Diceros bicornis minor: one gene and its partners. The protein of the gene in region 3 interacts with the protein of the main gene of each other region in a pairwise test. Links are inferred from orthologs where the notes say so. Each region holds a gene or a part of one and is shown on either strand. Other genes may lie near its edges. The genes, in order: QKI, DMRTB1, RBFOX2 and HNRNPF.

Region 1 (6,939 bases), on a different chromosome or scaffold from region 3:
TTCTTAAGTCTAAGAAACATTCCTGCAAGAACTCCATGGTGATGAAAAAAGTTTGGAATACTGTAATTTTCTATTTTAAATGTCAAGAATAGCAATAAGCAGATACAGCCAATCAAATTTAAGAGAACAGAAAATACATTTCCACTCGTGGTTAATTACTGATGTTAAATGTAGAACCATTTCTAGTGTCAACATATTAGATGACATAATTTTTCAGAGTAAGAAAAGTTATTATAAGGACTTTCAACTGGAAGCTCACCTATACATATATTCTTGTATGTTGTAACTTGTATTAAGATGATATTTTTGTAATAACGTGACTAAAGAGTCCTTCCACATTAATTTTTACAGTTTTAAGCTTTTTGATGGCAAGTGATATATCCCAAGAATTTTTGTATTCCTCATTGCACTTGTCACATGTCGGGTAATTAATGGTGTAATATATACCTAAAATGCCTTGAGGCAGGAGGGTGAGCGAGAAAGGGGAGGGATACCGTGGACACCTGCAGACAGGGCGCTTGTCTCAATGAGAGGTATCACCCTGTTGGACCCAGTTCTGCCCTCTGTGGGACCAGCTTCTCACTATTCTTAAGCATCAGCCATCTCTCCTCTGAAATCTGGCTATTCATGCCTACCTCAAATGTCTGCCGTGTGGATTAAAAGAAATATTGTAGGTGAAGGTTCTACACAATTCCTGAAGCATAACAAGTACTTAATACTTTTTCTGAACATATTTTTCTTTTTCTGAACATATTTTTAATAAGTGCCTATATGCACATGTGCTGTTCTACCGGTTGGGAGTTCAAAATAGAACAAAATAAAGTCCTTGCTCTCATGAAGCTTACAGTAGGGGGAGGTGACAGCCAAATTTACCCATAGATAGAACATGTCAGGGGGAAACAAATGTTATGAAAAAAATTAAAAGGGTGGTAAGCAGAGAGACTAACAGAGTATGTGTGTGTGCGTGTGTGTGTACACACATGTGATATTTTATAAAGGTGGTAAAGGAAGCCTTCTCTGATAAGACCTGGGAAAGGGTGCAAGCAGGCGTGCAGATGTGGGAAAAGCTTGCAAGGAGAGGGAACACCGAGGGCAAAGTCCTGGAGTAGAAAGCATGCTTGGCCTGTTTAAGGATCAGGAGGGATTCCAGGGGGTAGAGCTCAGCACACTAGGGGAAGTGAGGACACAACATCAGCGAGGCAGCAGGGGGCCAGAGCTTGTGAGATCTCAGAGGCCTTGGTACCTGTCTTTGGGTTCATTCCGCGGGGCCGGGGTGGGGGTGGGGGAACCACTGAAGAACTGCAATAAGAGAACTGATGTAGTATGCATATTTGGAAAGGCAATACATATCAGCTATGATCAAATGCTGTAACCATAAGGGATTTAATAGGTCGGAAGTGAATATTGCTTACCACTGTTCTTTAACTCTGATCTGGCTCATTTAGATTATAAGAACCGAGTGAGCCATATGAAATTGTAGATTCTATGGGTTGAAAATGGTCGAACATCGTTAGAAGTTTCAACCTGACTTATTGGATAGGATTAGTAAAAGGGCAAAGAACACGGGTTTTAGAATAAAATAAAAGTGGATTTGAATCCTGGACCCAGGACTCATGAGCTATATAGTCTTGGGAAGTTACTTAACCTCCTTCTCCTTGGGTTTCCCCTTGTGTAAAATAAGGCCTTGGCCAATATGAGCCACAAGGTTGAACTGAAGATTAAATGAGATTACAATATAAAGCATTTAGCACAGGCCTGGGAGCTTAATGAACAAGTGAACCGATTAAGAGAGGGGATCGAATCTTTTACAACTAGCAAATCAAATGAATAACTTGGTACCAAAACCTTTTAAAACCACCTATCATTTTCCTAGGTACTGAAGCAGCATACCTTACATTAGTTTTAAAGAGACAACAATTTTTTTGATCAAATTAGTATTCCTTGCACTTATAAAATTCATCCTCTAAATAGATAATTAAGAAGGTGAATATTCCGTGGCCCTATTAACAGCTGTGGATGATGGAGAACTTAGAATATTTGCGAGTTACATGTTTTTAACTTTGTCTACCTAAGGCAACTCCATTTCCTCCATCAAAGTAGCTTACTTTTAAAAACAAACTCATTCTACGTTCTTCAAAAGAACAGGCCAGAAGCTACTTGCCACTCAAAGAGTATTTGTTTGAAACCCGTAGTTTCAATACAACTCAAAAGTGTTCCTCAGAATTGGTGCGAAGCAAAATTTTACCAAAAATCCCAGTTAAGTTCTTCACAGTTAAAACACAGTAGACACGACAGATACTTCAGCCAGTGTAACTCGCACAATCGTCAGGCCGATTTTGAATAATTTTGTCCATGTTAATTGAACACGTCATAAAGAGCTTGCAATAAAATGCAGATACAGATTTAGTGACTGACAACGTTCTATAAAGCAGAGAACTACATTGTTGCAGTTCAGAAAATTCTTCCCCAAACAAACCTAAATATTTGAAATCCCCCCATCATGCTGCTTGGAAAATCTCTTGCCCGCTGTATGATTATTTTTGCAAGTTTGTAAATACGAATGTTGACTTTCGTTTTCCGAACTAGGTACAGTACATGCTCTTTATTTCACTTGTTTATTGTGGCTGCATTTTATTACTGAACACCCATGTCACCACGAAGCGCAAGATCGCCAACAGCATCGCGTCCCCTCGTTATTCCGTACACCGCGACGCTCAGTCCTGGCTGTCGCTGGCTCCCGGAATAACGGAACGCCGCGACAAAGCACAGCCTGTCCCCAGAGGCGCGCCCGCTGCTCGCACAGGTCCTGCACCGGCAGAGCGACGCCGTCGGGGCGACGAGGGGCGCCTACGCGGGGCCCGCTGCTTCTCAGGCTCCTTCCCGCCGCGTGGCTCCCGAAGCCAGAGGGGACCGCGAGAACACGGGGTGTTAGTGCGTTCCCATCAGCTTCGCAGCGGTAGTCAAAGCCCACCGCCAACGCGTCCTCTGGAGGCGGACCCGGAGCCAGGCAGCGAAGACCCGGCTGCTTCCCAGACCCGCCGCTCCGGGTCCCGTGGCCCAGCCACCCCCTCCCCCTCCCCCTCCGCATCCCCTGGGCACGCCCCCTCCCCGACCCCGCCCCCTCCCCACGCAGGCGCGCGGCAGACCCCGCCCCTCCCCCTCGCTGGCAGGGCTGGGCGGGGGCGGGGCGACCCTCGGAAGGGGCGTGGATGCCGGCCTCGACGCGCGCACGCGCTCTCGAACCTTACGGCTACGTGTCGGGCCACGTGACGCCCACCCCGAAAGTCCCCCGTGAAGCAACAGGACGTTAAAAAAAAATCCTCTTTTGGGGGGTGGCGGATCAGAGGGTTTTCAAAAACTATAGTAACGGGAGGCGAGGAGGGGGCCGGGGGGCGGCGAGCGCGGCCCTGGCGCGTCCCGCTGGAAATCCCTCTCACCTAACGCGCCGCCCGACCGCGCCCGCCAGACGAGCCGCCTGCTGGCGAGCAACGCGAGGCGGCCCCAGCCCCCGCCCCAGTCCAAAGCACGGCCGCCCGCGACCCTCCCCCAGCCGGCGGCCCCGCACCGACCCCTCCCTCCGCTCTCGCCCGCCCGGGGCGGCGACCCCGGCCCGGCGCCCAGGCCCGGCTCGCCGAGCGCCGCCTCCGTCACGCCGCCCGCCACCGGCCCCTCAGGCCGCCCACCCCGCCGGAGGGAGACGGCGCGGCAGCGGCGGCTGCGGCGCCCGGACCCGGGGCCGCGGGGGGCGGCGGCGGGAGGAGGAGCGCGCCGGCCGGGCCCCGCTAACGGCCGCCCTGCGCGGCCCCGCCCGGCGCCCGCCCCCGGCCCTCCCCGCGCCGCCCCTCCCCCCGCGCCGCCGCCGCCGCCGCCGCTGGCAGCGCCGCCTGAACTGAGGCGAACTCCGCCGCCAAGTGAGTGAGGAGGAGGAGGAGGCGGCGAGGAGGAGGAGGAAGAGGAGGAGCGGAGTCAGAGCGCGGCGGCAGCGGCAGAGGCGGCCGCGGCGGGGACCAGCCCAGAGAGACCCCGAGCCCGCGGCAGAGGCGGCGGCTGAGCGGGCGCGACCAGCCGAGCGAGCGGCGGCGGCGGCGGCCCGGCTCCTCCTCGTCCGGCGCCGAGCGGCCCGCGCCCGCACTCGGCCCGCGGAGACCCGCCTCCCGCCCGCCGGCCTCGTGAGGGACGCGCCGAGCCGGCGGCCAGGAGCGGCGGCGGCGGCGGCGGGCCGGGAGCGCGTCGGGCCGCGGGCCGAAAGTGCCTGCGGGGGCGGGGAGAGCGCGGCGAGCGCGCGGTCCGGCCGCCCCGGCGCCCGGCGCGGGAGCGGAGCGGAGCGGGACGCCGAGTTCCGAGCGGCCGGCGGCCGGGGCTCCCCGCCCCTCCCTCCCTCCTCTCCGGCGGCGGCGGCGGCGGCGGGCGGAGTGAGCTGCGGAGCCTGGAATATGGTCGGGGAAATGGAAACGAAGGAGAAGCCGAAGCCCACCCCGGATTACCTGATGCAGCTGATGAACGACAAGAAGCTCATGAGCAGCCTGCCCAACTTCTGCGGGATCTTCAACCACCTCGAGCGGCTGCTGGACGAAGGTGAGTCGCCGCGCCGGCCCCTGGCGGCCCGCGCCCTGGCGGCGGCCGCTCTCCCCGGGACCCGACGCCCGCCGGCCGGCGGGGAGGGCAGGGAGGTCGCGGCTGGCGGGGCCGTGCGCCCGCGAGCGGGAGGCCCGGGCGGGGGTGCACGGAGGCGGCGCCGAGGCCGGGCTCGCGGGCCGGTCGGGCTCGGCGGCGCGGGGGGGCCCTCGGATCGGGACCGCGCGCCCCGCGGGTGTGTGGGGGCGGCCGCAAGCCCCGTCCCGCGCCCCCGGCGCCCGGCCGCGGCAGTGGGCTCCCGACGGCCCCGAGCTCCGCGGGCCTCCCGGGGAGGAGCCCGGCCTCGCCGGCCCGCGGGCGCCTGAAGGACACCGGCCCGAGCCGCTCCTGGGGCCTCCCGGAGGACGCCGGCGGGTCCCCGAGCGGAGCTCCCGCGGGGCTGTGGTTTGTTGGAGTTTGTGTGGCGTGTAAACACTCGAGGGGAGTAGCGCGGGCCTCGTGAATGTAAAGGAATGCCGCGGGCGCCCGAAAGTAACGCTGATGGAGCCCCAAATGACAGCGGAAAGCACTTTCGGTCCTTTTGTTTGGGGAAGCGAGAAGTGTTGGGGAGTTGAACTTCACTTTTGGGGTGGGGGTGGGGGCGAGCGCGAAATACCGCGAGGATGAATGTAGACGTAATCCCGAGTTGGAGAGAACTCCGGCGGAGAGCCTGCTCCCCGGCACGCCGCTGCCTGAGTTTGCAGGACAGGAAATCAAGAGGTCTGAAAGGGCGAAAAGAAAAACGAGCAGAAGTTTGCCCAAAAGCTTTGTCGGTGGGGAGCGAAGAGTGACAAGAAGATTAATTTTGGCTAACTCTGGAATTTTTCTGCGAGTTCGTGCAGCGGCGACTTGGAGCATTAATATTTGGTAGCTGTGCCTTTCTGTGGACGCCTAGGGAATAAGATGACCAACCAAAAAATCTGTTTTGCAAATCGAGAAGCAAGGAGTTTCTTTTTTCGGTTTAGAAGCATCAGCGGAGGACTGTTTAAAGAAAACTGGAAACTGTATTTTTATAGAGGTGAACAACGGATTTTAGGCTTTTCACGAGAATTTCCCGATTTTTACAGTAGAGCTGGGGAAAAGGAATCTGAAGCTTAGAGAGTTGGAATGGCACTAAGGAACAAAAGACCGGAAATGTCTCCGAGATAAAAGATGGTTAAAGAAGACTCCCGGGAGCTTTTGTTGTCAAGAAAGTCATAGAAACAACTTTAAAAGTACAAAAGTTAGGTATTAACTGCGTTGTCGTTTTTGCATACATGTGTTACACATACAGCAGTGATCCATATTGCAATGGGCTTTTTCAACACTGTTGAAACAGCAAGTGTGTTAATTTCGAATTGCTCCAGAGAAAAGTTGAGCTGTCTCTTTAAGGGGTTCTACTTTTCCTATTTGTGTTGGCTTTTGAAAGGTTGTGGAGGCAGAAAACTTTCTGGAATGTCAAAAAAAAAATCTGCTGGAACTCTTAAATTGAGTGTTTCCAAATGTGAGCGCTAAGGGGCGCCAGTTATTTTTTTTTTAAACATGAGAAATGTTTGGAGCAAGATGTGTAACATACTCAATAATCTGACCTACATTAAATTTAGTTGAAATTTAAATGATAGTATATTATTTTATCTGTCATTTTGTGTCCATATATGTATTTACAAACGCTGAAAATACTTTGTTTAAAGTTATTGGAACAATTTTACCACGTTTCAAAAATATGATATTATTTTCCCTTGGCATGTTTTGGTGAAGTTAAAATTTTAGTAGTACTAGTAAAAATTTCTAAGCACTTTTTTCTTAAGTACCGTTGTTTACAAGGAATTCTTTATAGACATTAAAATGAAAATAGGCCTTGACAATACTTAGGGTTAAAGTTGAAGAAGTTTGAATTAAAATGTCGAGTTCAATCAAACAGCATAGGCGATAATAAAAAAAGTTTGGAAATATTTTCATCTTATGCATACTATTTAAGAAAGTAAATAATTTGAGTTTTTCTGATTAATTCTAAAAGGCTTCTCAGTTGTGCTTTTATGTTATCTAAAATCTCTAAATGATAATTTGGAGTTCTCTGTTAAAAAGTTTCTAACCTTTGGCTTCAAAAATTTTTAATTTTCTAAATCTAGAATTCCGATTATGTCATTGTCTCTAACAAAAGTTTGTTCATTTCTCTCTGATTGAAATAGTAACCACTTGAGTTTTAAATGTTGGAGACCACTAGTTGAGGATGAAACATTCTAAATAATATTTTTTTTCCTTTTAATATGCTTCATTCCATCTCTTGTCTTAGTCTGTCTTGAGTTGTAGCCTTTTCAACTCCCTGTGGTAAAGGTTGCTTCTGTA
Region 2 (7,094 bases), on a different chromosome or scaffold from region 3:
TCTACATGTGAATGGACTCGTGTACATGTGTGCACTCCCAGAGGCGCACACCGCACAAGGTCAATGTTGTATCCCTCCTTCCAGTGCTCAAGGCTTGGCACCGAGTGGGCACACAAGTGGCTTCCTGGGATTAAAGATCCATAAAAGCAGCAAGGGCAGTGGGATAAGGAGGAACCTGGAAAGGAGTCAGGGAAGGGACTCACCAAGCCCCCTCCATGGTAGTGGCTGCAGGACACATGCCGGAAGCCCTGCTGCAGGGGGATCCCTGGGGCTGGGGTGGCGTCCTGGAAGCCCAGTGGGAACGGGCGGTACGAGTGCACGCTGGAGCAGCTGGGGTACAGCTTGGAAGGCTCTCTCGCCAGGTACTCAGACCCCACCACACAATCCGAGTTGATGCTCAGAGAGCGCCCTGAGAAGGTAAGCAGTGAGGAAGTGTTGAGAACACAAAGAGCTAGGAAAAGGAGCATCACATCACTGTCCAAAGGTGAAAGTATAATAAACTCTCACTTCCATTTACAAAGAACTCCCACAGCCACTAGGCTTTTAACACTCCCTGTTTTTTAAACCCTTCAACCACGTCCCACTGCTCTTAGAAAAGTCCTCGGCACAGCCGTGAAGCCCCAAGTGCTGGTTCCTGCCTCCACTCCAGCCTCCTCGCTTACTGTAACCTAGTAGCTTCTTTCTCACCCACATCAAGCCCTTTGCAGATGCTGTTCCCTTGGCTTGGAAGGCTTCCTCCCCTAACCCCACTTTGCCTACTTAAGCCTTCAGGACTCAGTGCCTAGTCTTCCTTCAGACCACAGCTAAACCATCAGTTATAAGAGCTCTATCCACTGATTTGTGTGATTCTTTGATCAGTGCTGTCTCTCCCACAAGGACAAGATCCCTGAGGGCAAGGAATGTGACTTTTCCCCCTCACCTGTTCCTCACTGGCGTTTGGCACATAATTAAGTGCTCAGTCTTTGTTCGTTGAGAGATGGAACAAAGAAAGGCACTGTGTCATGGAAAGGTACCCTTCTCCTAGGATTGCTGTTTCAGGTCTGTCTTCCCCACCTAGTTCCCTGGGGGCCTAGATTTTCCTAGAATGTCCCAGAAAGCAGAAATGGCCTTCAGAGGGCATCCAGAGGGAGAGACTGACACAGAAGTAAGGTGCTTGCCTAAGGTGACAGAGTGAGCAGGCCCCAGCCTCCTGACTCAGACTTGTGCTCTTTCTACCACACTGCCATAGGGAAAACCAAGAAAACACATGTCTTATACTCAAAAAGAGCCGTTGCTTAAAACTCAAATCTACATGTGATTTGAAATTATACTTTAATAGTGAAAGCAGCAAGACATAAGGAACAACGTAATTTATGCACGTGGTGGGAGAGGACAGAAAAGAGACAACACCTCAATGGACCAACTGCTGTCCTCCAGCAGGGGGCAGAGAAGGGGCCTCATTCCCACCCATGCCGAGGGAAAAGGCGGGAAGGGATGCGCAAGCTCATTGGGCCAGGGCACGGGTGAGGGGAGGGGCCTCCAGAACGCAGACAGGGAGAGAAGGGTGCGCAGGCGCAGTCATAGTTGAAAAAGCACCACCGCAGGACCGTCCTGGGGGAGGCGCCTCCAGCTCAACAAAAAGGCGGGAAGAGGTGCACAAGCGCAGTAGGGCCAGCCTCCCCCGCGGAGGAGGAGCCACGGCTAAGCGGACTAGAGGCCATGTTTTTCTTGCAAGATGGAAAGTCAAAAACTGTAGCTAAATGTTAAAAGCCCTCTGGACCACCCACTCCTTTCTGTCGCTCTTTTTACATTTTTGCAAAAAGGCACTCAACCCAAATCCGTATTCAGAGAAAGGTTTCGGAGAGCGAGCCTAGGTCTGGGTAGCGTTTTCCCCGCCCCCACCCCCACCCCCAGGGCCCACCCTGCGGGACCGGGCGGCCTGGGACGCCAGCGTGGGGAGCAAGGCCGCGCGGGCCCGGGCATCTTACCGAAGTCGGCGAAGGGCGGGCTGGGCACGGGTCGGAGCGGCCTGCGCAGCTCCGGGCGGCCGGGGTAGCCCCTGCCTGCGGCCTCCGCCCCGAGCTGAGGCCCCCCGGGACCGGGCATGGCCGCGGCGGCGCGTTCGCTCGGCCCCACGTGGCCGCGGCCGCCCAGGACTGGCTGGAAGGCGCTCGGGCCGGGGCTCGGGCCCCGCGGGGGTCTCCCGGGGACGGAGGCGGTCGCGCGGCCCTTGGGGCCCGGCCCCGCGTCTCTTGACGCGGCGAGCAGGGGCAGCGGGCGGAGGCTTGCGCCGGGGGCGGCGGCCGCGGCCCCGGAGGCCAGCTCGGGCCTCTCCTGCTCCTCCTCGGAGGCCTGCTTCTTGAGCACCTTCTGCGCGGCCATGATCTTCTGGCGTTCGGTGATCAGGTAGCACTTCTCGCAGGTGCACTGCTTCCAGCGGCACTTGCCCGCGTGCCCCTTGACGGGCACAAGGAAGCCATGGTTCCGGCACCGCGAGCACTTGGGGGTGCGCAGCATCTTGTCGGCCAGCTTGGCAAGGTCTGCCTTCATAGTACAACCGCCACCTCTGGGAGCTGCAGAGCGAGTGGAGCGGGGATGAGCCGCGCCCCACAAGTCCCTGGTGCTGGGGACGTTGGATACACTTGTAACAAAGCGGCTCTCAGTACGTTCCAGGAACTGCAGCAAGACCTTTGCATTTTCCCACCTCTTTTGGGGTGCAAAATTTGCAGAGGTTCTGTGCCTTGGTTGGGTGCAAGGGATTGGGTTGAGTAAGTTGTTCAAGGAATGCCATTGCATGAATGTCATCTGAGTTGTCTGAAGTCTTAGGCATTTAATTTCCCAAACTTTCTATTCCCGCCACCCCGGAGACAGAAAGTATTTTGTAACTTCAAAAAAGGCGGAGTGATATTCAACGGTCTACAGATTTAAAGCTCCAGACGAACGTAGCTCTCAGTAAACCCATTCCAGTATAAAAGCATCCTAAGCGGCAAACTGCTTCTCCTTCCAAGAACTGCTGCTTCTGCTGAATTTCATTTCTCTCCCCTGCAGAGAAGCAGCCATTCGCAGTTGATGCTTCCAGAATATTCTCAGGAGCTGAGTACAGTGTGATAGTTGCTTAAGGATGTGCCCGTTTAGAAATTCCCATTGCTTAACAGTCTTGTTGGTATAGGAATGCATTTCTAGAAGATGGCCTATTGCTGTTGTTGATGCCTTCCAAAATAAAGCATACTTACAATGCTTTAATGTAAAATAAGACGTAGGATATTTTAGCATGAGCTTGAATTATTGATTAAGTTTGCAATGAATTTAGTCATCCCTGTAAAGCAACCCAAATCTTGAGACACCTGAAAAGCTGGCCAAAACTTCATAGTCTACCAAGGCCACTAAATTAACTCATTTTCTTGTTTGATAGAAATTTGTGACACCCTGAGGTCTTTTTCCTTTTTTCTTTTTTTTAGGTCCAAAAAAAAGGAAAAAATGAGCCACTCACACCTAAGTTGAAAGCTAATAATCATAGAATCGGGAGGTAGTTATGGTTACCACCTGGCTAAAACATGTGCATATTAAATGGCCCTGTCTCTGAAATTCTCTCTCTGTGATAGCAGAATGCTAGAAGTGGAGGCCTGGGGTCCTTGATTTTCCTGAGCCTCTGGTTGCAACTGAACTTTGCATTTCTCACCAGCTGCCTAAGAATAGGAAATGGTTGCCATTCTGAGGCTGATTAGATGCTGGAAAGCTGACAAGAGATTTGTAAAGCCTTTTTCTGCTTTAAAGAAATATATTCATCATCTTAATAAGAGGGCAAAAGTATATGCTTCCTGTATTATTTGGCCCTTCAGGAATTTCACTGGTAATTTTACATCCATTTAAAGAGATCTAGGATTGTCTCTGCTTTGCTCTAATGAAACCGGCAAACAGTTAGCCATTGATGATTAAGCAGCTGATAACTATGGGGGATTGGAATTGGCCACTTCAAAATATGTCTCTGCCTGAAAGACACTTTGGCCCCCACCCCCACTAACTGACCAAAGCAGTTTGGGATGGGAGGCCTGCCCCCAGAACAGGCCATTACCGTAGACATCTCCGGTTATCTGGGAGGGTCCTTGCTAAGCCCATTCTTAGTTCTAGTTACCCTTTTTAAGATACATTTACATTTGTAAAGGAAATCTCCATCTGTAAAGCTGTCTTCTTCCCTGTACCAGGAAGAAGGGGGGGATGGCCTTACCTAGAAACTTATCAGAACAGAAGGCAAGGCCAGGACTTAAATCTGCATGATAAACTTACCCATTGTTAACTGTGCTGTTTAGGCAATATGCTAACCGACTCCCACTAGGTTCCTATAGATGACATCTCCCTGGAGCCTGGGTCACCATGGTAATGGGTGTTTGAGCTATTTTTTTTTTCAGGAATTGGAACCCCTTGTCCACTTCAGGCCGGTTGAGACCACCAACCCATCAACTGGGCCCATGCAGACATGTGTCTGATAAGCGACCTTTTGACGTTGGGAGGTTAAAGCCCCACCCTCAGGGCAAGCTGACGCCACCATTCTGTGAACATGCCTCCTACGAAGAGGCATGAAGCCTGACTACGCTTGCGCAGATCATCAATTACCTCATCTCTCCTCACCTCCAATCATTTCAGACCACCTTGCCCCTACCCCATAAATAGCCCTGAGTCCCTGTTTTCAGGGAAGCAGATTTGAGATCCATTCTCCTGTTTCCTAACTTGGCAGCCTTGTTGTTATTAAACCCTCTCTCTCTCTGCAATCTCATCATCTCAGTGTTTGGCTTTCTGAGTGGCTGGCAAAAACGGACCTGGTGCAGTAACACTAACGCCCTCTATCTTAACTTTTGATTTAAAAAATATGGTCCCACAGATAAAAGGAGAGGCAAGCTCTTTTTCTGACCCCACCCAATTCAAAATGTCTAATTTTTTCACTGATCTTGTCATTTGAAAATAGTACTTATAAATCATAGTTTCAATACTACTGTCAAAAAATCTGGGGCATAAAGCTGTATTGTTTCATGATACTGCAAATTGTAAGATCGTTTCTGCATTATCATATTTAAATTTTAACATCAGATGACATGGGACGATAAGGCCTAAAAAAGAAAACTAATGTCATTTACATTTCTTGCTTGACCACTCAAGCTCTCTTCATTTTCCTATTAATTATTTAAAGAAAAATCCTATTCAGAGGCAACTATTTGAATTAACATATTTTAGCCTTGTTAACTACAAAATGCTGCCATATTTACTTCCTAGCTTTAGGGGCCAAATATACCCAAGGTGATGTGAATTTGCATAGTGCTTTGAGAACATTAATAAACAACCATGTATCTTTTTAATCAGTAGTCACATTATAAGATGCAGAAACCCCAGAGTTTATACAGTAAACAAATCTAAGAAAAAAAAAGACTAGGTAATTTCTCTCTTCCCCCCAAAGTCTCAATTTGTGTAGGTAAATTCCAACAGAGCTTTATTTATTTCACTCTTGGAAATTCAGGCAAATTGGTAGTTTTGTTTTATTTAGGTTGATGACTGATTACTTCAGGGGCTGCTGCTTTTTTTTTTGTTTTAACATACATTTCTTTAAATTGTTATTTTAGAAGATGGTAATGTCTTAGAAGTGAAAACTAGAAGTCAAAAAAAGGATGGGAGCAGGGAAGGACCCCTTCCGTCCCCACACCTAAACCTTAGGATATTTATGTTTAAGAAAGTCTGCATCATCATAAGCAATGGTTTATAAAATAACAAGTTATCGTTGCAGGAATCACCAGTTTGACTAATTAACCACAAAGGGGCTGGTTGGCGGTCATATTTGACTTCCAGCGTCAGATATGGCCCTTTTTCCCTCAGAATCCCAAGTTTCCTATCTTGAATAATGCCTCTTCCTTCAGTTAATATGATTGCTATTTGTACTGTTTAATTCATATTCATTTTAAAGAGCCTTGTATTATGCAGTGCACAGGGGTATCATTTATAATCATTAAATATTGTATCATGCATTGTACTGTTTCCTTGCTGGGAACACACAAGAGTAAGGAAGGGCTTTTTCGCCTATGGCATCTTTCCCCCAGCAGCTATAACCCAGATATCTGCTATCTTCCCCTTCTTCAATCTCTCTCTAGTGAGCAATGAAAACTTTATTGAAGATTTTGTAGGGGATGGAGGGGAGGATTTACATGACTATCCTATAGCAGATGCTTTAAAATCCTGCCTTAGCGTTTCTATTCTCTCAAGAGCTTCCTCTGCCATGCCACACCCACTGGGGAGAAATGGTTTGTTCATGCCCCCCGCAACAGTACCCGACCTTCCTAGCTTCTCTCTCCTCTCTTTATTTTTTGAGAGCTCTGTAACAGCTGTGTCTATCTTATTTTCCATTATGTCCAGAACAAAATAGACATTCAGTCACTATTTGTTGAATGTACAAATGAACCTTGCCTCCTTCTTCTGCCAGTGTCAAGGTTACCTCCTCTCTAACTGGCAAGGTAAGTCAACTTGGCTTCAGCAACTTTGCCTGAACATCAAACAAAACAGACCCCAGAGTGAACAGGACCTCTCTCTTGACAAGCAGAATTTGGGGATCAACTTTGGTTCCTTGAGCTAACCTCCCACCCCTAATAGTTTAGTAATAGTGATAATAATAGCTGGCACTTACCAAGTGTTTATATGTGCCAGTAGTTCTTAAGTCCTTTATGTGTATTAATTCATATCATCCTCACAACAACTCTCTAAGGTAGGGACTGTTATTTTCACCCCCATTTTACACAGGAGGCCTAGAGAAGGTAAGTAACTTCCCAAGGTTTTCCAGCCATTAAGTAGCAGAGCCATGATTCAAAACCAGGAACTCTAGCCTCAAAGTCCATGTTCTTAACCAAATATCTGCTAACTCGATATTTCTTCTAAACACTGTGTTCTCCCCAAGAAAACTTTGGTGATGAATAGAAATGTTTGTCTTTATTACATACCCATTACAGTTGGGGCTATAAGGGAGCAAAATTTGCCACCCCAAAGTGTGTTTCTTGGGCATGAGGATTATTTTAGGCTGATTATTTTTAAGAAACAGAAGACTCAGGAAGTTTTTCTTTTCACCTCCCCCTTAACTGCCTAAA
Region 3 (7,114 bases):
CGGCCCCTCCACCTCCTTCTTCTGGACTCCGTGGCACAAGTCCTCTGCATACTTTGGCTCTAAATTATGCAATGCCTTGTGACATGCATCTACCCTGTGGTATCTCCTCTCCTCTTCCTCTGGAACTTACAAAAAAAATCACATATATATATACACACACACACACCTTTTTTAACTTTTCACCCTTTTGTCTGGCCACCTAGATTGTAAGCACCAAGTACCTTAAGGTCAGGGAACTTGACGTATTTTTTAGAAGGTAACTTAGAAATCATCCTGTACAAACTTTATTTTACAACTAAGGAAGCAGAAGCCCAAAAAGAAGGGATTTTCCCAGAAACATACAGCTAGTTGAAGGCAGGGGGCTAAATCAATGATGATTTGAATACCTGTGTGACATGGAGCGTTAGAACTGCGACAATGAGAATGCACAAAGTGAAAAATAAATAAAGATCCCCAAAAACACAGAGTGAAAAAAGGATTCTCTGTGGGATAGTTCTAAGTTGCCCATTTGTACCCAAAGGACCTAATCCACTCCTTCCTCTGCATACTCCAAAGTCCCCATACACTGCTCCATTTCCAAATAGTACTATCCTTAGCCAATTTGAAGGCAACCAGCAAATAATGGGCCCCAGGAGGAAAGAGGGGGGTAAGAGAGGCAGAGTCTCACTATTAACCATGATTGACAGAAACAATACATGAACACATAGATATATATGCACACGCCAAGCGGAACATGCTCACTAGCACCCACATCCACTCTTCTCTCCTTATCATCCAATGTTAACCCACCTCACCTGAAGTCTCCCCATATTCTCTCTCTTTTCTCCATGGCCCTGAGTTTTACTTCTCACAATCCCTCTGTCTGACAGAGTTCTAATGGAGAACAAAAGCAGGCCAACAAAACAAAAGAATTCAAAAATAAACACCAAGAGGGTCACTTTACCCAAATCAACACAAGTAACAGAGTGGCCTCTGCCAGGAGACCAAGAAGAACACAGCAAACATGCCAGGCTTCCATAGAGCTCCCTCTCTAACACAGGAAGTCAGGCAGAGCCTTCCAGAGCAGGGAGCAGAGCACAGGAAGTCTTTTAGCGCTGCAGAGATTTCCAAGAGCGGTGTAATGGAGAGAGCACAGGAGTAGGAATTAGAAGACTCGGCTTCTAGTTCTAGTTTTACTACCAGCTCACTGGGTAGTCTTTGGCAAGTCACTAGTCTTCTCTGGACTTTGCATTCCCCCTCTAAAAAAGGAGGTGGTTAAAACATTTGGGGACTTGAATCCCCTCCAAAAACAAACCAAAAAGATGATGACAACTCTTGCCTTTCCCCCACCAAAAAGTGCACGTAAACTATTTTTGCACAAGAATCTTCCAAGTCTATCCAGGCTAAGAACCCCTGGAAAAGATGAGGTCTCTGGTCTCTTCTGTCTCTAACATTCTCTGATTTGAAGAATTAGGCAGATGTCTACACAATTGCTGGTAGGTGAGCCCCACCACTTCATAGCAAGTATTTTCTGAACAGAGATCAAATCCTAAAATCTACAAAGGTTTCACGCTCTTCCTCAAACTACAAAGTCAACTGACATCATAACTCCGTTTCCCATTCCCTGCCCAATCAACCAGATCATGCTTGGGTTCACGACTCAGAATCCAGTCCTCTAACAGCCCTATAAATTTTCTTTTACACCCCAGGACATTAAAGAGCTGGGCTAAGATACAACTGGCACAGTACAGGAGGGGCATGTTCTGTGTCTCTCTTCAGACTCATTAGCAGGCTCCATAAAGTTAATGAGACCGAGCACCACGGTGTCCCCACAGCACTACCCAACTCCTTGTACTTCCCACCCTCCTCTGTAACTAATTTAACCCACAATCTAAGCCACATCCCCTTTGGGCTCTCGAGGAGTTTTCTCGCTTTCCACGCCTCTCCTTTATATGCCGCTCCTTCCCCATGCCAGCGGGTGTCGAGAGTGCCAAAGGTACTCCTCCTTCTTGGGAGGTTTCCCACCACTGTCCCCCCGTCCTCCACTCAGTCCCGCGCCTCTCTGGGCAACAGACCCAGGATCTCCCGGCTTCCACTCCCCGCCAAGTAACCCAGGAAGGGTTGGGACAAATGGAATCCATCTCAACCATGTTCGATTTCCCCCCAAAACCCAGTCACGCGTCGTGCCCCTCGTCCTCTCTGGAATCAGGACCCTGGCGGGCACACCGGGGTCCCTGCACCCTCTGCCTCCACGCCGGAGGGCGCCCCACCTCCCAACCAGGCCCCGACCCGCCCCTCCCACCTCCGAGCCGGGACCCCGGGAAGCCCGCCCCCGTCCAGCCCCGGAGCCCCGCGCCACCCTCACGGCCCCGGCCGCACCCCCGCGGTCACCTGCATCCCGCCGCCGCCGTCGGCCGCCGCCTCCTCGGTGCGCGGCCGCTTGCTCAGGCCGGGCTCGGCTCCGTCTCCTCCCGCTCCGGGCGCCGGCAGCTCCAGCTCCGACTCCCGCTTCATCCCCCGGGCAGCGGCGCCGGGCCCGAGCTGAGGCGGCTGCTGCGGCTGGGCGCCTTCCGCCATCCGCCCGCGCCCCCCTCGCCTCCGGGAGCCGGGCGACCCGCGACAGGCCACCTCCCCCTGGGCCTCGGCCCCGACTGTCGCGACAGGCGGCCGCGCGCCTGCCCCCGCCCCCGCCTGCGTGCGTGCGTGCGCGCGCGCGCGGGCCCGGCGCCCCTCCGCGCTCGGCGGTCGCCGCTCGTCGCTCGCCGGCTCCTCGGCTCCGGGCCGCCGGCGGGTCGCGACGGGCTCTCGCTCGCGCCCCACGCGCACACGCGGCCCCCGGCCCGCCCGCCGCGCGCCCCGCCTCTCGCCCTCACGGAGCCCGCCCGCCCGCGCTGGCTCCCTCACACCGGCCCTCACCCCACGCCGGCCGAGGGAGGAAGGGGGCGGTCCCGCTCCCGAGGCGTGGGGAGGGGTGTTGATGTGGGGGGAGGAGGGGCCCGAGGCAGGACCGAGCTGACTGGCCGGGATCCTCCGACCCGCCACTCTGGCAGCACCGGGAAGGCGGGGAGAGAGAAAGGACGAGGGAGGGACCGGGATCTGGGACTCCAGCCCGCGCCGGAGGCGGTGGCGGGGCGGGAGGGGGAGTGAGGGGGCGGGGCCAGCGCCCCTCGGCCATCTCCGCCGCCTCCGCTCCGGGCGCCCGAAAGAGGCCGGGAAGAGATCGGGAGAGTTCGGGAATCTCCGGCACGGGCGACGGATTGTCTTGGAGGCCTGGCGCCGCCGGAGTTCCAGCCAGCGCGGAGGGGGCGGGGTCTGTTTCCTTTAAGGGCGGGGCCGCAGCCTGCGGCGGGCGGAGCTTGAGAGGCCTGAGGGCAGGGTGGCAGAGTTGTACGGAGTTCAAGGGCCACGTTGGTTTCAGGCGAAGGAAGAGGCTCTCTGTGGGAGGGAACTCTGCCTGTTCCTTCTCCCGCAGAAGAATGGGGATCTCCGGTTGGAAGGTCCAGGAATGAAGCCACCACTACATGGCTCTCCTCATTTCTGAAAGCTTTTACTCTAATCATAATTATTATTATCATCACATTCCTGATCATCTTAATAATACCTGATGTTTGTAGGAGCTTTACGGTTTACACAGTGCGTTCACAGACCCGTTTTGAAGCTGATGGTATAGATACCAGGGTCTCCGTTTCACTAATGATGTACCTGAAGCTTAGTTAAGTCCGGCAGCTGAAAAGTGGCAGATCCAGATCTCAGGACACCAGATCATATTCTTTTTCTCTACATCTTGCTGCCTGTACAGCTTATCAACTTCATGCAAGTAGAGATGTTCGTGTAATAGCTTCTGTCTCCTACCAGACTGTAAGGACCAAGAGGGCATCTGTTTTCTCTGGGTTCCGCATTGTTCCCTGTACTTTATAGGGAGATATGATGTTGCATGAGCCACTTGGGTTCTACTAACTAGCTTACACGAGTTACTTCATCTCTTTGAACCCCTGCTGCATCATTTGAAAAATGAGGAGATGGTTCAGATCAGTGGTTCACTACCAGGGATGATTTTGCCCCCTTCCCTCTCCCTCTCCCCCCAAAAATGTCTCCAGGCTGGAGGTTGCTGCCAGCATCTAGTGGGTAGAGGCCAGAAATGTTGTTCACTAGCCTGTGATGAACAGGGCAGTCCCCACAACAGTTATCCAGCCCCAAATGTCAATAGTGCTGAGGTTGAGAAACCCTGGGTTAGATGATTTCTAGGGCCATTTCCAGATGGGTCAACAATTTGTCTTTTGAACTTGGATTTAACCTGACTGGTGCTGGAACAGTACAGTGGTAAAGATCCCTGCTTTGGAGTCAGACCAAGCCAGGTTTGAATCCAAGCTTTACCACCTGCTATGTGATGTTGGACCAGTGATGAGTTAGGAATTTCTATATAGAAGGGGTTTAGGGCCTGCAGGCTAGTTGGAAAGGAAGACAAGAGGATTTGTCTTGAAGCTGAGTTTTCATAGTGAGCACGCTGTTTTTACCTAGGCTGTGTTATAGATCAATAAAAATAGCCAAGTTTTAGCTCTGCCGCTTACAAGTCATGGTGCCTTGTGAAAGCTACTTAGCCTCTCTATGCCTCAGTTTCTTCATCTGAAAATTAGGATAATAATAGTACTTTCCTGAAAGGATTGTTTGAGGATATCTAAGAATATCATTATCACTACTATTGGGTTTTTGAATTACATAAGGTGGCTTCTGTGGGGCTGCTAGAGATTAGGATGGGCAGACAAAGCTCCCCAAGTCACCCTTTGCTGCAACCACTATGTGGGGCAAATCATTTATTTTCACTAAGCCTTATATTCCTTGTCGGTAAGATGACAATAATAGTCACAGTATTGTTCTAAGGATTAAATGGGACAAAATAAAGCGCTTAGCACAGCACCTAACATATAGTAACTGCTTAATAAGTGGTAAATATTTATCATCTAATGTGTTTAATGATAGTAAGCTACTGGTTAGGGGGCAATGCAGTGGAAAGAGAAGCCCAGGCATCTCTTAATCTGCTGTTTGGGCCAGTAAGTTGGAAGTCCAAGTGCCTGCAAGCTTGTTCTTCAGCTGAATTAGGCAGCCCCAGCTGAAGTCAGGAGTCCCTGTGGGCAGTACCCCACAGCAGATGGGCTTGATTCTGTCCAACCAAGCATCATGGCTTTGAAGAAAAATCAGGATTTTCCAGGTGGCCTACAGAACAACAATGACTTTTTTTTTTAACCTAAGGACATCAGTGGTTGGTTTTCTAAAAATTTTACATTCCAAACTAGTGTCTTAAGAATTCTCCTCTCCTCCCTACCTGCCTTGCCAAAATACTGGAATCCAACTGGTCCTTTTTGGGCTGCTCCATGACCCAGCAAGAGATGATATTTGGGGTCGGGACTGCTTGTGACTCAAATTATTGTTACTCAAGTAGCACACATGTCCCTAAGAAATAGAGCGATGGGATATAGCAATGTTTGAATGACCAGGCAGAACAAAGAAAAACTGGACCCTGCCCTGTAAACAAGCTTTAAGCACTTAGGGAGAGAGAGCATAGAAGCCTATGAATAGTAGAAGAGGCCAAATGTGCCCATGGCACAAAGATCAGGGTCATTGCTTTCACATACTTCTGCAGCTACCTGTTTGGGAACAGGTGGTTATAAAACATCACAGAGGAGGAGGACAATTGAATATTTTCCTAGAAAGAATTTTTAGCTACAGAAACTACTGAAGTCCTAACATTTATTCATTTCTCCATTTGACAAACCATGGGCACCAGTCTGGGGTACCAAGGTGAATAAAATTGATTCCTAGCACCGAGAAGCTCACAGTCTAGGGAAGGGATGATCAAATAAAAAGACAATTGTAATGCATCATGATCAGGAGGTCATCTCTCTTAGTGGACAGGAGCATGGAATCTGGTGTCAAGTAGACATGGTTTTGAGTCTAACTTGGCCATCTGTCTGACCTTGGACAAGATCATTAGCATTCTAAGGCCCAGTTTCTTCATTTGTGTGACAAGCACTGGTAGTTCCCAATGTAGTATCCATTCTCCTCTAATTCCTTACTAGCAGAACCCCAATTTTGTTCAGGGCACAAATCTGCCCAGCTTTAATAAGAGGGAAAAAAAAAAGAATTCTCGGGCTCCCTGGCAGCTAAGGGTGGCTATGTAACCCCATTCTGGCCAGTGAGATGTAGGTAGGGGACAGCATTCCTTCCCAACTAGTAAGACAAAACCACAAGAAGAAAAGGCACTCTGCCCTTCATCCTTTGCCCTTTGTCTCTAGCCTTCCTCCCTCCTGGAACACAGATTGGGAAAACAGCAGACGTCTTGTGTCCACAGTAACAAAAGCTACGTTCTAGGAATGGTATTGTGGAGCCACCATACCAGCCCTAGCCCGTCTACCTCTAATGTATTGTTATTTGAGCAAAATAAGTTCCCATTTGGTGAAGCCTCTGTGGACAGGTTTCTACATGCAGCCAAACTCAACTCCTGCCTGATACAATCTGTAAACCGAGGATTATCATAGTATGGCCCCTGGGGTTCTTCTGAGCGTTGAATAATGCATGCAAAGCACTTAGCATGACACCTGGCTCATAGACACACTCAATAAATGGTAACTTAGACCTTTTTACTACTATTATTACTCCTATTATGTTTATTAATATGACTATTCTATGTGCCACAAGCTATAGGAGCTATAGGAAGATGGAGCTCCCCGTGCCGGAGGGAGACAGGACAAGCTTCACCCAGAATGTTATGTTTGATCTGGGTCTTTAAAAATGAGGGGGAGTTTCCCAGGATATGGTTTCTGATAAAAAGTGAGCAAGTTCTTGTGTGCCTGCGAGGGCTTAGGAGGAGTTCAGCACTGTTCACCAGGAGAAACCCCGATAAAGACCCCTAGCACGGGGTTTGGAGTCAGGACCAGCTGTGGTCCCCAAACTGAGACTGAGAGGTGAGTGGGTGCTGGAGCACCTAGCCACAGGGCTATTATGGGACCTTAGGAGATAATAGATCTTATGACAGATCTAGTCAAAAGCCAGTCATTGTTAACCCAGTACTCTGGTTACCAGCAGCCATCAGACAAGCTGGTGGTACAAATCTTTGTATCTATAAGCTCTTTGAGAAAAT
Region 4 (7,954 bases), on a different chromosome or scaffold from region 3:
TATGATTTGTGGCTCTGCTCTGACTTTTTGTTTAATGGTTACCATGAGGTTTGTATAAAAGATCTCCTAGATGAGACAGTCCATTTTCTGATAGCCTCTTATCTCCATTAGCCTAAGCAGGTTCCATTTCTTTCCTCTTCCCCTTCTGAGTTGTCATTGTCACAAATTGGTCTTTTCTGTGTTGTGCGTTCATGACTAAATTGAAGTGTTTATACTTATTTTTGATGCTTTCTTTCCCTTTGTCTTTTATGTTGTAATTAAGTGTTTACTAACCTGTTCTGATGTGGAGCTGCAATTTTCTGATTCTGTCTATTTATCTCCTTGCTCAAGATTTTGTAAACTTTTGCTTTTCAGTTTCAGATGGGAGGGCTCCTTTCAACATTTCTTGTGAGGCAGGCCTAGTGGTGACAAACTCACTCAGCTTTTGTTTCTCTGGGAAAGCTTTTATTTCTCCATCGTATCTGAAGTATCGTTTCATTGGATAGAGTATTCTTGGCTGAAAGTTTTTGCCTTTCAGTATTTTGAATATATCATGAGGAATTTCTTCTTTCTTTTATTTTTTCTCTTTTTTTCTGTCTCTCTCATTGCCACCCACACACAAAACCACTTTACTTAACCGATCTTTCTTAACTTATGAACCCCCGCCTTTTTTTTCCATGTCGTAGGTCAGAAACTTTCAAAGTCAACATTATTAAGAACTCCTATTAAGAAGATAAAGATCTCAAATTTGTTCCATTTTTCCAGGATAAAATTTGGAGTTTATTTTTTGGATTTATTTTTATTATTGGGGTTCATTTTTTCATAAATAAAGTGGTCAAAATGTAAAGGTTAGCAGGACACATTGCTGCTTAATAAATCCCAAGTGATAAAAAAGAGAACTTCTGACAACAACATAGGTAATGAAAATGCTTAGCATATAGTGAGCTCTCAGAGGGAGGACTGCACCTGCATGGCCTGGGCCCATACTTCTCTCCTATCACCTCTTTCCCACGTGGAGTGAGGCTCACGAATCACTGGCCACGATTGGCCTCCTTGTTCATTTGCCCTTTGGAGCATAATTTCTGCCTTAAAGAACCAGAGGCAGGAAAGGCTGCTCCCCTGAAGGGGTTGGTACTCAGGGGAAATGTGGGGCTGATTCAAAGACTTCAGTGCCAGGCTCCCGCCCACCCATCCAACCATGATAGTTTTGAAATAGAAGCTGCAGAGGGAAGGAACTGTTTTAATCATAATACCTTGGGTAAGGTACAGTGAGGTCAGATGCAGATCAAGAGAGAGAAACTGGAAAGAGTTTTACGGTTTTTTATACTCACAGCTCTCGGAGGAGAACTCAACATGCCACCGGGGCCACTCAGGGGAAGCACCAGGTTGGTCACAAGGCAGAGCAAGAGGGAACTGTGGGCAAGCACCTTTATTGTGGTTTTTGCTGAAAGGAAAGGGTTAAACAGGGCAAACAGGTTTAGGATCGGCTAATTTAAATAATTTCAGTGGGCTCCGGAGCAAGGGGCTGTCTCTGGTTGATATCTGGCCCTGGGGTAATTAGGGAGTGTATGGCGGCCCAGAGTGTCAGAGCCCGATAAGGGAGGTGTTTGGTAGTGTGGACTTAATTGGCTGTTTAAGAAGAGGAACTAGACCAGCGTCTAAGCAGGGCCTCAAAACCGGATCAAGATAGCACACATCTACCCACACAAACTGTATTACAGGAAGCAATATTCTTTTTAAAAAAAGTTATGTAAATGGACCACACATTTTGTTTCTTCTCTGATCACAAAACGTCAATACCCCACCAGTGGTGGTTTAATCTGTAATTTTTTTTTGGTCCAAAACAATGAGAGGAAATAGTCAATACGTCAAAATGTCAATATCTCTTACATTTGTACAATATCTACAATTTTGTGTTTGTTTTCAACAGTCTATAATTTTTTAAAATGGAAGTTACTACAAGAGAAAGGCAGAGGGAAGCTGCAAGCTGCCCTGCACCTGGCAGATCTTTTCTTTTCTTTCCAGTTTTATTGAGATATAATTGACATATAACAGCACATCTTGATCCAAATGAAGTTTTCTGATTCTCCTGAGGCCCCATAGTAGTGAAGGCATCTAACTGCACATACTTTTGGGTGGGAACACTCATGATAAGGCTAAAAGCTGACAAATCAGAATGGAGACAGAGCTAGACCTTTGTTCACTAACATTCAAACCAAGGCTTGTTGCTGGGCCGGCCTGCTGAAGAAATGGTCAAAGTAAGGGTAGCCACACAACACTGCCCAGAACCACACAGTCCACCTGCAGTCTTTTGCTACGCAAAGAACCCAATTCAAGCAAGTAACCATCAAGCTCAGGGGGTGCCATAACATCTCTTTCACTAACTCAAAGTGCTGTCTGAAAGAACGTAAAGTACCCTGAAAGCACTGCAAATAACCCTGGGGGCGGGGGTCGAGCCCTCTGTGGTGGTGACTTTCCTCTTGAATAAGCATTGTGCTGCTTCAAAGGTGCATTTTTCTATATTAGTCAAGAAAATTAACCAGACGAGGCTGACTTCTCAACTTGCCTCTGTCCCAGCTGGGTTATCTTATCCCTCATCTCACCTACTAGAGCACCTGGCCTCAAGGATAAAATTTACATTTGGACAGTATTTATACCGTGGCTGGACAGTTGAATTTGCTTTCTCATTTCGTTCTTTCCCTCTCTCAGATGGGAAAGGGAGACAGAGAAGGGGCTGGTAAGCCAGGCTGAAAGCCCTACATCTTGAGAGCACAGCAGTTAAGAGGGCAGATCCTGGAACCAGAGTGCCTCAGCCCAAAGCCCAGATCTGCCATCTACAAGCTGAGTGACCTTAGCAAAGTTCCCTTAACAACTCTCTACCTCAGTTTCCTTCCACTAAGTGGTGATGATAGTAATAACATCTACTCTTGGGTTGCTATGATGTTGAAATGAGATTAAGTATTCAGAACACTGCAACACGTTAGGTATTGTTATCATCAATGCTAGTTAACAGATACTGTGATTTTGAATAAGAGCCTTGCTGAGCCTTGGTGATCCTGCCTACCCACTGGCATTCTCCTGGGGAAGGGGGTCAAAGCTTAATGGGTGAAGTGTTCTTTCAAGTGGTATCAACTGGGAAATTTTAAGACTCTAGACAATACAAACCTCTGTACCATTTGTTATGGACGAGTAATTTCCAGAGAGAAGCTTATTTTTAAAACTTAAAATATTTATTAAAAGGTCTTAAATTTGTGATAATCTATTTACATAAACAACAGGAAATAAACAGGTCAGTCTGTAACAGGATACATCTTGGGGTGATCTTCATTTGTGGTGAATTCAGTTGTTTTTAAACCACAGACCTTAAAGGCTCATCTCTGTGTAGGTACTCTCAAGAATCAAAAAACGTCTCTTTTTAGATTTCAGAGCTTAGGTGACACTTTTCTGTACATAGAGATGAAAAGAAAGGGTAGAGGCCCCTAAGCCCCCACAGCTGAGGAGGTGATCCAAGTAGACCAGGATTGGGTAAGCATTCTCCAGTTGGTGAGATGAGCTGGACTTTTGTGGAAAAGACCTAGGATCTGTGGCACCAGTCTGATTCCAGCCCTCACTATGGAAGAGAGCCTATATATGGCTGTGCTAGCACTCACCTCTGAAAAAGATAACATAGTGGACACCTGGGATGACTCCCTTGGACAGGGGGAGGCTCATAATCAGGCCAAGGCCCTAGTCTTCCATTCAGAGAAGACCTCAAAGGTTACTGCATCACTGATGAATGATGGAGAACTGTCAAACTTGATGAGGGCATCAAACAGCCCACAACAGAAGTCCTTTTAACAGACTGCATGAACCTATCTCCTTGAACCTGGTTTCACAGTCCCAAATTCTGAAGCATTACTATTTTTTGGTATAATTTTAATACTTGCCTCAGATTGGCTCTTGCATTTTGTCTCCAGAAACAGACTTTTCTACAGCATGAGCAGTGACAGTCATTGTGGGGTTTCTTAAGAATACCTATCTGATTTTTGTAGGACCCGTTTTCTGTAATTTTGCCTTTGATTAATTTTCTTCTTGTACATTTTCACCTCCTTTGACAGCTCCTGCTTTTACCCTTCCCATTTTTTCCTTCCTGGAATCAGCTTCTTTTGACAAACTACGCTCCTCTCTCTACTATCATTGTCCACTCATAATCTGATACTATGCCAAGCACTCCCTTAATTTAACTGGTAATTTTTAAGTAATCTTCTCCTTAACCTGCGATGAGGGTCTTGATATCGTCATCTTTTTAAAGAGTGTCTGCAAAATTAAAATGGTAATAATTATTAACCCAAGGACACATCTGCTCCCCTGCCTCAGGCGGAGTAGCCATTTCCATCCAGCTTCTCAATTCAGGGCCTCTGTGACAGGCAACCCTGCATTCTCCTTGGGTCTTCTGGGTCACCTTGAGAGAGTTGGGGGCTTCTCAGCCCAAGTGATAATCACGTGAGCAACCTCAGTCAACCAGCTAATCTTTCCCTAAACTCTCCCCTCGGAGCCGCTTTTTTCGTCTCCGGTGTTCTCGGTTCCCTCTTTCTTCCTCGGCAGGAAACGACTCTCATTTTCTTCTCTCAGGCTGGTCTTCAAGCCAGATGCCCTTTGCGCTCACTGTTTGGGGAGCTCTCCCAGTCAGTATCGTCAGGAGCTCAGGAGCGTTCCGCTAACCCTCCCCTTCCCAGAGAAAAGCTCGCCCTCGTCCCCCCGCCCCGTTCCTCTCCTTCCACCACCCAGCTCCGCAGGCACTACCAGCCCCGGGGCCGGGCCAACCAATCCCCGGCTCCGCTCCCGGCGCGTCACAATGGCGCCCTCCCGGCCCCGCCCCGCGCCCAGCCGGCCAATCCCCGGCTCCGCTCCGGGCGCGTCACAATGGCGCCCTCGCGGCCCCGCCCTGCCGTGGTCTTTGCGTCCTTCCGGCTCTGTCGTGGAAGTAGCGCTGCGCCTCGTCTTCCAGGAGAACAAGGTGGGGTTTGGTGGGGAAACCGGCCTGCGGTCACGCCAGCACACGGAAGGCGGGCGGGGGCGCGATCTCTTGGGGCTGCTGCTCCCAGGTGCTGGGGCACAGGGCCGAGCGGGGACCGGGCATGTAAGGGCTTCCGGAAGCGCCGCGTGCGCACGACGGGCGGGAGTTGTGGACTCGGGCCTGCCGCGCGCCTGACCCCTCCCCTCGGAAGCCCCGCCCAGGGCGCGCTGCCAGGGGTTTCCATGGTGATGGTAAACAAGCCTCAACTGCCTCAGCTACAACTGCCAAGTCCCCCACGTTCCACCCTCCTCTAGGTGCTCAGGGGGACGACCGAGGTGCCGGGTGTGAGGAAGAGCGGGAGCGCGGAGACTCCGAGCCTGAGGTGAGGGGCGGGACGGGCCGCGGGTCCGAAGCCCACACACCCGGGACCGACTGGCTACTGGGCCCTCTGGGTGTGGGGACAGTGGGGCTGAGATTTGGGGTCGGGGGAGGCAGGGTCTGAGGTCAGGGGCCGCACACCCGGGGACCGACCGTGGACTGGGCTCCCCTGGGGGTGGGGACGGCAGGGCTGAGATTTGGGGTCGGGGGAGGCAGGGTCTGAGGTCAGGGGCCGCACACCCGGGGACCGACCGTGGACTGGGCTCCCCTGGGGGTGGGGACGGCGGGGCTGAGATTTGAGGTCGGGGGAGGCGGGGTCTGAGGTCAGGGGCCGCACACCCTGGGACCGACCGTGGACTGGGCTCCCCTGGGGGTGGGGACGGCGGGGCTGAGATTTGGGGTCGGGGGAGGTGGGGTCTGAGGTCAGGGGCCGCACACCCGGGGACCGACCTTGGACTGGGCTCCCCTGGGGGTGGGGACGGCGGGGCTGAGATTTGGGGGAGGTGGGGTCTGAGGTCAGGGGCTGCACACCGGAGGACCGACCTTGGACTGGGCTCCCCTGGGGGTGGGGACGGCGGGGCTGAGATTTGGGGTCCGGGGAGGCGGGCCTGAGGTCAGGCCTTACACTTGACTGGACCAGGGGGCTGAGATTTAGGGTTAGGGGAGGCAGGACCCGCGGGGAGGAAGGACAGGAGGGCCTCGGGCGGACTCCAGGGGGAGCAGGGCGCGGGCACACGGGCCTGTCGGATGGGGCTTCCTTTAGAAATGAGAGCAGTTCCCTCACGTGGCCGGGCGCGTCCGGGAGTTGCCCAAGACTGGCTGGGCCTGGCTCCTCCCCCTCCCACGTTCCCGCTCGCCGCGCCTCCACTCTCGGTGCTCACGGCCTTTTCTTCCTCTCCGAGCCGCGTGTGTGCCCTGCGCGCCCGTCCGCGTTTGTCTCCTGCCCGTCGAGGTACAGTGTTCGCATGTTGGGGTGAAACTCTGGTTCTCGTTGTCTTTGCCTGGTGACCACGCTTCTGCTGAGCGGGCTTAGTCGGCCGTTTCGTTTTTCCCTCGTGCTTTCCTTCTTTGTATCTTTGAATATGTGTTTCGCTGATTCTTGACTGCGCCTAAGAAACTTCCGGACGCTGCTGGAGCTCGCGCGGCGCCGTCTGCCTCCCGTGCTCCTGCGCGGCTCCCTGAGGTGGTGCCGCGCGGGTCGCGGGGACCTGACCTACTCGGTCCCCGGACCCTGGTCTATTATAGAAACGGTGGGGAGGCCGCGGGCCCCTCCCGTTAATCTCTACTTTAAAGGGCCTCTCAGGACCCCAGTGTTCCCGCAGACAACCCTCAGGCCCAGGAGAGCCCCCCCGGCCCCGGGCACCTGCGGGACCCTCGCCCGGCGTCCCGTCGGCCCCGGCCCGCCGCTTGCGGGACGCCCTTGGCCGCATTCTCTTCCCCCGGAGGCCCCAGGACGAACGGACACCCCTCCTCCGCTGGTGTTTACAACTGTCTGCGGGCCGGGTGCGCGGCGCGAGAGGAGCCCGCGAGGGTGGCGCGCCGAGGGGGGACGGTGCGACCGCGGCTTCCCAGGGCCGCCGGGGCGGGGGGCGCCGGGGGTTCGGGGCGGCCTCAGGTGTCCGCAGGCGCGGGAGCGGGAGAGTTTTGAAGGCTGCAAATAGTTTTTTATATCAAACATCATCGAAACTACTGACCTTAATATAATTCTCACTACTACTTTTAGTCACGTTCTTAAAAGTTAGTTTTCGTTTCTGAATTTCTAGTAAGGATGAAAATATGTCGGGTTCTCAGGTTAGATAAAAAATATATTAAAATCTAATCTCTCAGTGAAAAGTAATGTTTTCAGTATGTACTAATTTCTAGACAATTTTTTCATTTTAAAATAGATTAATTTCTACATATAATGAATATTGAGAGAGATTGCTTTATTACTAATATTAAGTAAGTCCATAATTTGCCTTGGGGATCTCATGTTTCTGTATGCACTTCTGTAAGTTGATTGTTTATTATTTCCATGTTATGATCTCGTTTTTTTTTAGTTTTTTTCTATTTTAGTAACATTCTTCTCGTAATATTTGCCTTTTTGCTACCTTTCTTTTTAACTGACAAGTGACTGGTTTTCACTTGAGTATTGTTACAAAGCTCCCTTTAAACATAAAATATTCAAGGAAAAATGTGAATTGATTTAAGGGAAAAGATTGATTAAATAGGAGAGTTAGTCCTCGGATATGGCCAAAACTGTGAAGAGTGTGGAGACTTAACGGCCTAGGTGCCTGGAGGGGCTGCAGAAATGGGAGGTGACTTCCTGCCAGCCTCTGCCCAGTCTGAGCTCTGGCTCTCCAACTCTTTGTAGATCCGCAGTAATTGAGCCTTAGTGGGTCCAGGCAGAGAGCTAGGTTTAACCACATTTTTCTAATCACATGCTCATGACCAGTCTACAAGTGGGTATTGTTTTATTCCCATTGTACAAATGAGAAAATGGAGGCGGTGAGAAAATAAGTTGCTTGCCTAGGGACACAGCTGGGACTAGGACTCAGGACTGACAGGGACAGCCCTCCTCTGCTAGGGCCCTCATCCCCACCTGGTTGCCCTGAACCAGGG

Evidence for each region.
Region 1: the proteins of RBFOX2 (region 3) and QKI interact in binary tests that used the Homo sapiens proteins (3 or more experiments, as listed by UniProt). The link is inferred for Diceros bicornis minor from reciprocal best matches to the Homo sapiens genes RBFOX2 and QKI.
Region 2: the proteins of RBFOX2 (region 3) and DMRTB1 interact in a two-hybrid assay, tested with the Homo sapiens proteins (3 studies listed by BioGRID). The link is inferred for Diceros bicornis minor from reciprocal best matches to the Homo sapiens genes RBFOX2 and DMRTB1.
Region 4: the proteins of RBFOX2 (region 3) and HNRNPF interact in binary tests that used the Homo sapiens proteins (3 or more experiments, as listed by UniProt). The link is inferred for Diceros bicornis minor from reciprocal best matches to the Homo sapiens genes RBFOX2 and HNRNPF.

The regions. Positions count from the first base shown.
Region 1 is NC_080778.1:7,347,821-7,354,759, reverse strand, and holds the start of QKI (KH domain-containing RNA-binding protein QKI), read left to right. Parts: upstream 1-3,938; 5' UTR 3,939-4,433; coding exon 4,434-4,575; intron 4,576-6,939. UniProt on the Homo sapiens protein: RNA reader protein, which recognizes and binds specific RNAs, thereby regulating RNA metabolic processes, such as pre-mRNA splicing, circular RNA (circRNA) formation, mRNA export, mRNA stability and/or translation.
Region 2 is NC_080752.1:15,755,183-15,762,276, reverse strand, and holds the start of DMRTB1 (doublesex- and mab-3-related transcription factor B1), read right to left. Parts: upstream 3,006-7,094; 5' UTR 2,785-3,005; coding exon 1,968-2,784; intron 410-1,967; coding exon 204-409; intron 1-203.
Region 3 is NC_080764.1:13,676,851-13,683,964, reverse strand, and holds the start of RBFOX2 (RNA binding protein fox-1 homolog 2), read right to left. Parts: upstream 3,007-7,114; 5' UTR 2,557-3,006; coding exon 2,371-2,556; intron 1-2,370. UniProt on the Homo sapiens protein: RNA-binding protein that regulates alternative splicing events by binding to 5'-UGCAUGU-3' elements. Prevents binding of U2AF2 to the 3'-splice site.
Region 4 is NC_080745.1:15,289,126-15,297,079, reverse strand, and holds the start of HNRNPF (heterogeneous nuclear ribonucleoprotein F), read left to right. Parts: upstream 1-4,943; 5' UTR 4,944-4,975; intron 4,976-5,289; 5' UTR 5,290-5,357; intron 5,358-6,223; exon of another isoform or gene 6,224-6,305; intron 6,306-7,954.